2 linked regions of the Rattus norvegicus genome follow. The main gene of each other region encodes a partner of the protein of the gene in region 2 in a complex. Links are inferred from orthologs where the notes say so. Each region holds a gene or a part of one and is shown on either strand. Other genes may lie near its edges. The genes, in order: Itgae and Itgb7.

The links.
Region 1: the proteins of Itgb7 (region 2) and Itgae are in contact, whole or in part, in a cryo-EM structure (PDB 8ZJF), measured with the Homo sapiens proteins. The link is inferred for Rattus norvegicus from reciprocal best matches to the Homo sapiens genes ITGB7 and ITGAE. Residues at the interface, in NP_000880.1 of Homo sapiens: Val201, Leu202, Pro203, Ser206, Thr207, Val208, Pro209, Ser210, Lys211, Arg213, His214, Cys216, Pro217, Arg219, Leu220, Glu221, Arg222, Leu255, Asp256, Ser257, Pro258, Thr291, Phe292, His293, Thr294, Ala295, Gly296, Asp297, Lys299, Leu300; in NP_002199.3 of Homo sapiens: Phe36, Leu38, Arg91, His92, Arg93, Gly94, Leu111, Arg113, Leu118, Ser119, Ser120, Leu122, Glu196, Glu198, Arg230, Tyr233, Glu234, Phe237, Glu238, Cys239, Asn240, Ser259, Gln260, Val262, Met263, Leu266, Arg300, Leu401, Gln403, Phe406.

Annotation. Positions count from the first base shown.
Region 1 is NC_086028.1:58,201,936-58,206,211, reverse strand, and holds the start of Itgae (integrin alpha-E precursor), read right to left. Parts: upstream 2,845-4,276; 5' UTR 2,797-2,844; coding exon 2,760-2,796; intron 1-2,759. UniProt on the Homo sapiens protein: Integrin alpha-E/beta-7 is a receptor for E-cadherin. It mediates adhesion of intra-epithelial T-lymphocytes to epithelial cell monolayers.
Region 2 is NC_086025.1:135,228,816-135,232,624, forward strand, and holds part of Itgb7 (integrin beta-7 precursor), read right to left. Parts: intron 1,401-3,809; coding exon 1,251-1,400; intron 887-1,250; coding exon 693-886; intron 1-692. UniProt on the Homo sapiens protein: Integrin ITGA4/ITGB7 (alpha-4/beta-7) (Peyer patches-specific homing receptor LPAM-1) is an adhesion molecule that mediates lymphocyte migration and homing to gut-associated lymphoid tissue (GALT).

The sequences.
Region 1 (4,276 bases), on a different chromosome or scaffold from region 2:
AGATGTGAGGCTCCACCTCACATCTTGTGTCCTTTCTACCTGAGTGTGGTTCCACTGGGTCCTATAGCTCTTTCCATGAACCTCCCCTGGGCTAGGAAGGTGAATGTGTGTACAGCCTGCTTTCTCATCATGCTGGGGCCCAGCATCTCCTAATCTAGGGCGGGGAGGACACCATCAGAGTAAGCAGCTTTCTGCTCCGATGTCTTTGCTTCCCCATCGTCTTCACAGACCCAGGCCTTGCTGCTTCTGAAAGCCCCTCTTCCTAGTCTGCCTATTTGCTGAGACACCACCATTCTCCTAGGCTTATCTCAGGTACCTGGATCCCTGTTTCTGAGGACCAAGCTTTTCTCTCAAATCTACACATAGCTGTAGGTTAGACCTAGGCAGAGCCGGGCCAGCCACCTCCTAACTTCCCCAGTGGTTCCCACTGGGGAGCTGGGGTTGGTGTCCTGAGCACAGCAGGTCCTGGACTCTGGTTCTTTCCTCTTTCAGTCATGAGGTTTCACAGATCCATAGCAAAGTTCCCTTCTCACAAGAGAAGTAAACTCTACCTCTGAGACACAGGAGGAAGTGAGTTACTGTGGCCTCAGAATGAGTCAGTGCAGAATGAACTCAGGGGCAGAGCATATGGCATTGGGGTATACTGGGGATAGGGGCTGGGGGCCGGGGCCTAGGCTGCTCTAGACTTCAATGTGTATGCATCTGCATTTTCTGCAAACCTTCCTTAGACAACCTTTAGTCCATTTGCCCCCATGAGTGACAGGAAAAGATCATTACCACAATGGGTGGCTTGGAAGGGCAGAAGGGCAGAGCCATCTGGTCAGGAACAGTTGTGGATTGGCCCCAACCCAGAGAAGCCAGCAAGGCACAGGAGTAAAGAGCCTGGGCCCGTGCTCAGAGTGTATTCATCCTCATTCTCCTTCGTAGCATCTTGCCTGCTTCCAATTCCCAAAGCCCTCAGGACTCAGCCTCAGTCTTGAGGCCTGGTGTAGCATCAACCCCAGGCATCACAGTGTAGAGCGGTGCTATCTCATTTTGCCCATCACATACCAAGGCCAAGCTCCCACTGCATCCCACAGCATAGCTAACCCCGCAGCAGGGCCTCAGTGCAAACCTGCCTGTCTCGCTTTTGTTTGTTTGTTTGTTTGTTTGTTTGTTTTTTCAAGAAAGGATTTCTTTGTATCTCTGGGTAGCCCTGGCTATCTTGGAACTCACTCTACAGATCAAGTTGTCTTGGAATTCAGAGACCCGCCTGCCTCTGCCTTCCGAGTGCTGGGGCTAAAGACGCACGACGTCACCACTGCTTGGCTCCATCCTGTTCTTGTCAACTTGTGTGCCAGAGATTTAGGGGTTTGATGAATGGCAGGTAGTGGGGGAGGTGCCCAAGGTGATGCCATTGCTGAGGTTGCGGGAAACAAAGATGGGCAGGAGCCCAAAGTGCCACTGCTAGGGTCATCTATCCAGGCCATGGAGCATCCTGGAGCTGTGAGGAAGGACAGAGGCCTATCTAGACACGGTTCTGCCCCTACTGCTCCTTGATCCCACCCTTCAGTCTATCCTGGAGTGGACTACTCTAGATTCAGCATCTTCAGCTTTGATGATGGGGCACTAGAGCTCTGATTAAAAAGAAAAAAGGTGAAGCCCCACTTCCCACTCTGCAGGTAACAGAAATAAAAACAAGTCTAGAATGCAACATAGCAAAACATCCGACCAACTTTATCTTCCATGGTGACCATCAAGTGCTTAAAAAACAAAGCTTGTGTGTCCGTGCACACACACGTGTGTGCCGAGGAGGATGGCAGCAGGCAGAAGGCTCTCTTTTACCATGTGGGTCTCTGGAATGGAGTCCAGGTCCTCAGGCTTGGCAGGAAGTGCCTAACCTGCTGAGCCGTCTCTCTGGCTCCACTGGGTCTTTTTAAAACATCAAAACTTTCCCCACCCATGTGTCGGTGATCTGAGCAGGGCTTAGCTTGCCTCCCGAATGCTCTGGCTCATGGCTGGCTCATCCTGCATCCTCCTCCTGGGACGTGGCTCTGCTCCTTCAAACCTTCACTGACTGGCATGAACTGCCTTCCAGAGATACAGCTTCCGGCCCCCAAATTACTGTGTCTGATGCCACCTTATTCTCTTGCCAAGTATGAGGAGAGAGAGAGAGAAAGAGAGAGAGAGAGAGAGAGAGAGAGAGCCAGACAAGACCAGACTACAGCCCTGTCTGAGCGATCCCTGGGGGCTCAGCTGATTACGCTATCTTGTCTCTGGGATCTTATGGTGGTCTCAGGACAGTTTGTCCAAAGGCAGTTCCCACTCAAGGTTAAAGACAGAGTGGGATCCTCTGACAGCAGGGGACAATCAATACCTGTCCCTCCTCCACATCACAGAAGAAGCAGGTTCCCCTCGATATTCAGTCTGTAGATTTACACACACACACACACACACACACACACACACACACACACACATCTCCTGCTAGTCTCCACATTCTCTCCAGTCTTCCTGACTTCAGCAGCTGAAGCTGCTCTGTTAACTAACAAAGGGCCCTCTGGGTGGCACAGCACATCACTAGCTTCCGCACTCTGGGAACTAACTTTGCATAGAACTGAAGCCAGGGGCCATCAGCACCGAAGAGGTCTTCCCTGTAAACCTCCAGATCTGTCTGAGCAAAGGCACTTCCCAAGGGAAGCCCAGCATTTCTCTGACCACTAATCTGGAGCCCAGGCAGACAGAGATGATAGCACTGAAGACAGGAAAGGCTGACTTACTGGCCACGCAGAGAAGGGCATGGAAGAACCACTTCATAGCTGGAGCAGACGCAACCGTGTGAGCTGAGTGGGGCGACACAGAGAACCTCAGAAGGCCCTCAGCTTCCCTTCCTCTGCAGGGGAGGCCAGGAGGCGGGGCAGAAGCATATTCAGATAAGGGACCACAGACCTACAGGTACTCTCAAGCAGACACAGCTACCAGAGCTCATACAAGGCCAGCAGGTGGCTTTCCCCATAGCTGTGGGCTGGGCTCCGGGAGCTTAGACAACTGTCAGGCCAGTTCCGTCACTCACTAGACCCCCCATTTCATGCACGAGTGAGCTAAGATTTGGCTGGTGGGTGTCCTGGGTGTCTTTGGCATACAGAGGAGGTACAGGAGCAAGTCGTCCAGGTAGTTGAATTCCAGGCTGTCTCATCCAGAATGTTCCCCAGCCAGACTCATGGGATCAGCTCCCAGCCATCTTGGGTCCCCTCGAATAGAAAGTGCTCTGACAGGCAAAAAATGCACTCTTACATTTGCTCCTGTACTCAGTGCATAGGTAGGGCCCTGGAAGAGCAGGTGAGCATGAAGAACTGAGGTATTAAAGTCATTGCTTCAATCCAGCTGTGGTTCAAGTGTCTTCAAAATGTGAGGCTGATAACAGCTTCGCAGGGCTCTGAGCTTCCAGCCTAACAGAAGAGGTAGACTTCATGGCCCTTACAGCACGGCTCTGACCCTGCCCAGGTTGTGGGGACTACTACAGGGGCAGCCATATCTAAATCCAACTCCCTCAACCACCAAACATGCCTACGCAGCAGCGAGGGAAGGAGGCCATCCTGCACAGCCCAGCAGAGTTCTGGGCAGCTCAGCCTAGCACAATCCCAGCATTTAGGAGTGTATGGTGGGAAGACCAAGTTCAAGGCCAGCCTGGGTCATGTAGTAAGACCTCTGCGAAGATGGACTGTTCTGGACTCTACTGTCCAACTGGAGCTATCAGCCGTGAGTGACTGACACGTTAAAATGATGCCAGTGCACAGAGGGAACTGAACTCTAGACTGTATGCAATCTTAATTCAGAAAGGCTGGGCATTAACCTCTTATTCTTCCATGGATGTAAGAGAATATTCTGGGGCTGGGGATTTAGCTCAGTGGTAGAGCGCTTACCTAGGAAGCACAAGGCCCTGGGTTCGGTCCCCAGCTCCGAAAAAAAGAACCAAAAAAAAAAAAAAAAAAAAAAAAGAGAATATTCTGAAGTGTTACAGTGTTAGCAAAAGCAGATAACCACATGGCCTTAATGACTACATGAAAATCAATTTTATTTTGTTTTTCACATGGAAAATTTATTTAGTCAAAGTTCTGTGAAGATTCAATGACACTTAAACATTTTCACACTGTTAGCTTTGGTCTGACATTTGACTAGATCTTATATAACTTTTCATAAAGAGATTACAATTCACACCCCCCCCCCCCCCGCACAACACGTTATTAGCAGCTAGAACAGCAGAGTTCCAGGTCTGATGTCATAGAATAGAGCACCC
Region 2 (3,809 bases):
CCATGGGAAAGCACAGATATTTACAGTTCATAACAGTAGCAAAATTATAGTTACGAAGTGAAAAATAATTTTATGAACTCTATTAAAGGGTTGTAGTGTTAGGAAGATTGAGAACCATTGCACTAAGGCCATGTTCTCAAGGAAGGAGACAGAGGGCTAGAGAGATGGCTCAGCAGTTAAGAGCACTGACTGCTCATCCAGAGGTCCTGAGTTCAATTCCCAGCAACCACATGGTGGCCCACAACCATCTGTAATGGGATCTGATGCCCTCTTCTGGTGTGTCTGAAGACAGTGACAGTGTAAAATAAATAAATAATCTTTTTTTTTTTAAATAATCTTTTTTTAAAAAGGGGAGGATACGGGGTTGGGGATTTAGCTCAGTGGTAGAGCGCTTGCCTAGCAACCGCAAGGCCCTGGGTTCGGTCCCCCGCTCCGAAAAAAAGAAAAAAAAAAGGGGGGGGAGGATACAGAGCAGCTGAAACAAACTGATATAGAAGTGTACCAAGGGTCAAGGGGGCAGGGGACTCAGGTCAAAGTGAAAGTGAAAGCCTTAGCATCTATGGGAAGCTTCAGGGTATGACATTCAGGTAGAGTCCTGGGATATCTAGGTGACTCCAGGTGAACAGAAAGCAAAGGAGAAATAAAGGTGATAGCCACTTGCTGGGAGCTAAAGGAGTCTATAAAACCCTCACCTGCATATCCCGCATTGAAGGTCCCCCTGTCCATCGCTGCAGTAAGGAGCGCGAGGCTGGGCATCACTACAATTGCAGTCACACAGTGTGTGCAGCTCCACAGTTAACTCCTCTGAGAAGCCAAGGGCCCAGAGCCGTAGGACATGGGCTTCTGGGAGGCAGTGAGAGGCTTGAAGAGTGACCCAGAAATCCACCTGAAGACAGGAAGACCAGACAAAGCTGTGCACACACACGCCCTCATGTACATACACACTCCTGTACACACACCACCTCTGGTACACACACACACACACACATCCTCACACACTGAAGACAGGAGGACCAGACAAAGCTATACACACCCACATGTACACACACACACACACACAGACACACACACACACAGAGTCCACCAACCACACAGAATCCTGGCCCTTAGCAAACTAAGAACAAGTGAAAGTGCACCCCTCCTCAATGGCGATCCCATGGGTTCTTCTGCTTGTTTCCCACTTCCACGCCCACTTCTCCTCCGTGGAGGTAAGTGGGAAATCATATCTATTGCAGCTGGCTGGCTCTTACCATCTGGTTGACTCGGACATGATTGCACTGTCCCCGACGGTCCCCAGCCTCACCCTCACTCTTCTCAGGACTCCTACAGTGAGACTCGAAAGAGATGCTGACTCCAGGTGGGAGCGAAGAGTGTTCAAGAGTCACGGTGGATGACAGGTTCTGTGGAAAGAGAGCGAGGATGTCATCGTGTGAAAGCAAGCCCCTCCCCCGACGCACCCCGCTTCGTGCCCTCATAGTCACACCTGGTCCCTTCTGCACAGTTAGAAGTCATTTCTGAAAGAAGAACCATCTTGGAACACCTAAGGGCTAGACCTACCCGGGCCATGGTGTGACAGCCCATGCGGTCAGTGTGTTTGTCAATCAAACCCAAACCAGAACACACAGCCATGGTGGGTAAGATCCACCGGGCAGACACGGTTTCGGTGTGGTTACTCTGCAAAGGCTAGCACTGTCTCAAGACTTCCTGCCACGGTCAAGAGATTGGCTTTGGGTATGCCGGGCAAGCAACCACTTAGTTCTGTATCTCCACTCGTTTCACTGAGGTCAAGGACACATTGTTCTTGCTTATTATGTCAGGGTCTCCAGTAGCCCAAGAAGGCCTTGGAAATTCCTTCTGTCTCTGCCTCCCAGGTGTGAAGTGACAGGCATGTGACACCTCATCCAGATAATAATATGGTCCTTGGGGGTTGGGGATTTAGCTCAGTGGTAGAGTGCTTGCCTAGGAAGCGCAAGGCCCTGGGTTCGGTCCCCAGCTCCGAAAATAATAATAATAATAATAATAATAATAATAATAATAATAATAATATGGACCTTGATATTAAATGTAGTACAGCCAGGCAAGGTGCTAGGCACCTTGACTCCCCGAATGGGGGAGAGGGGACCCTGTGAGTTCAAGGCCAGCCTGGTTTACACAACGAGTTCCAGGACAGCCAGGGCTACATAGAGAGACCCTGTAATTAAAAAGATAAAAAAAGGGGGCTAGAGAGATGACTCAGTGGTTAAGAGCACTGACTGCTCTCCTAGAGGTCCTGAGTTCAAATCCCAGCAACCACATGGTGGCTCACAACCATCTGTAGAGAGATCTGATGCCCTCTTCTGGTGTGTCTGAAGACAGCAACAGTGTACTTATACATAATGAATAAATAAGTCTTTAAATAAAATAAATGAAAAGTAAAAAGAGATCTGCAGTCTAGAGCAGAAATGAGCCTCCTGCTCAAGAGGCATTCAAGCTCTATAAAATTCTGTCCCTGATTTGTTACAAATGTAATGTGAGCGCTGAGTCCCCCATTCTTTTTTTTTTTTTCTTTTTTTCGGAGCTGGGGACCGAACCCAGGGCCTTGCGCTTGCTAGGCAAGTGCTCTACCGCTGAGCTAAATCCCCAACCCCAAGTCCCCCATTCTTTATGCTTAGCTTCCTGTCTCTATTTCCTCAGTAAAATGGGGGTGATAATAGTTATGAAGCAGGTGGGGTGCAGGACCCGGTGACACAGGATGGTAATCTGAGGTCCAAGCAAGAGTATGGGTAGATCAATCAGATCAATGCTACATACACGACGCCTCCAAATAAAAAGCGAGGCTCTGACCAGCGAGGCTCTGACCAGCGAGGCACCTCAGCAAGTAAACACACTTGCCAGGTCAGCCCAGAGCCCGAATTAGTTAGATCCCCAGAACCCTTAACATAACGGTCCAAAGGGAGCACTGACTCCACAAACTTGACTCTGGACTTATATATGCACTGTGGTACTCATGTACGCCTACCTCACGTGCACATACGCACACAATCACACAAACACAAAATAATAGATTACAAATTACAAGAATTTTTTCAGCCGAGTGGTAAGGGCACACACACCTTTGAGCCCAGTGCTCAGGAGGCAGAGGCTGGCAGATCGCTGAGTTCAAGGCCAGCCTGGGCTACACAGTGAGTTCCGGGACAGCCTGGGCTACATGGAAAAACCCTGTCTCAAAAAAACCCAACCAAACAACACAACAACAACAAAAAACCTACATGTTTGCACATGCGTGTACATACATATACACTCGTCTATATACATGTAATACTAAATGGAGTCATGGATACTCAAAAAAGAAAAAGATCATGTGAAGTCAAGAGGGGGAAATGGTAGATGTCTAGTGGTGAACTGTAGAGGAGAGAACAGGGTGGTAGATTTGGTCCAAACACATTATATGTATGTATAAATATTACATTTTTAAATGTTTAAGTTATTTTATGTATATGGATGTTTTGTCTGCATGTGTGTTTTTATCCTTTTTTTAAAAAAAGATTTTATTTTAGGTATACTGTAGCTGTCTTCAGACACACCAGAAGAGGGCATCAGATCCCATCACAGAGGGTTGTGAGCCACCATGTGGTCACTGGGAATTGAACTCAGGACCTCTGGAAGGGCAGTCAGTGCTCTTAACCGCTGAGCCTTCTCTCCAGCGCTCCTTACATATTTTTTACACTAATAAAAAGTGATAGACTTGTGGCTCAGCAAGGAATGTAGTTCGGCGGCAGAGTGATAGCCTAACACAACAAAACCTTAGGTTCAATCTTCCATATGCAAAA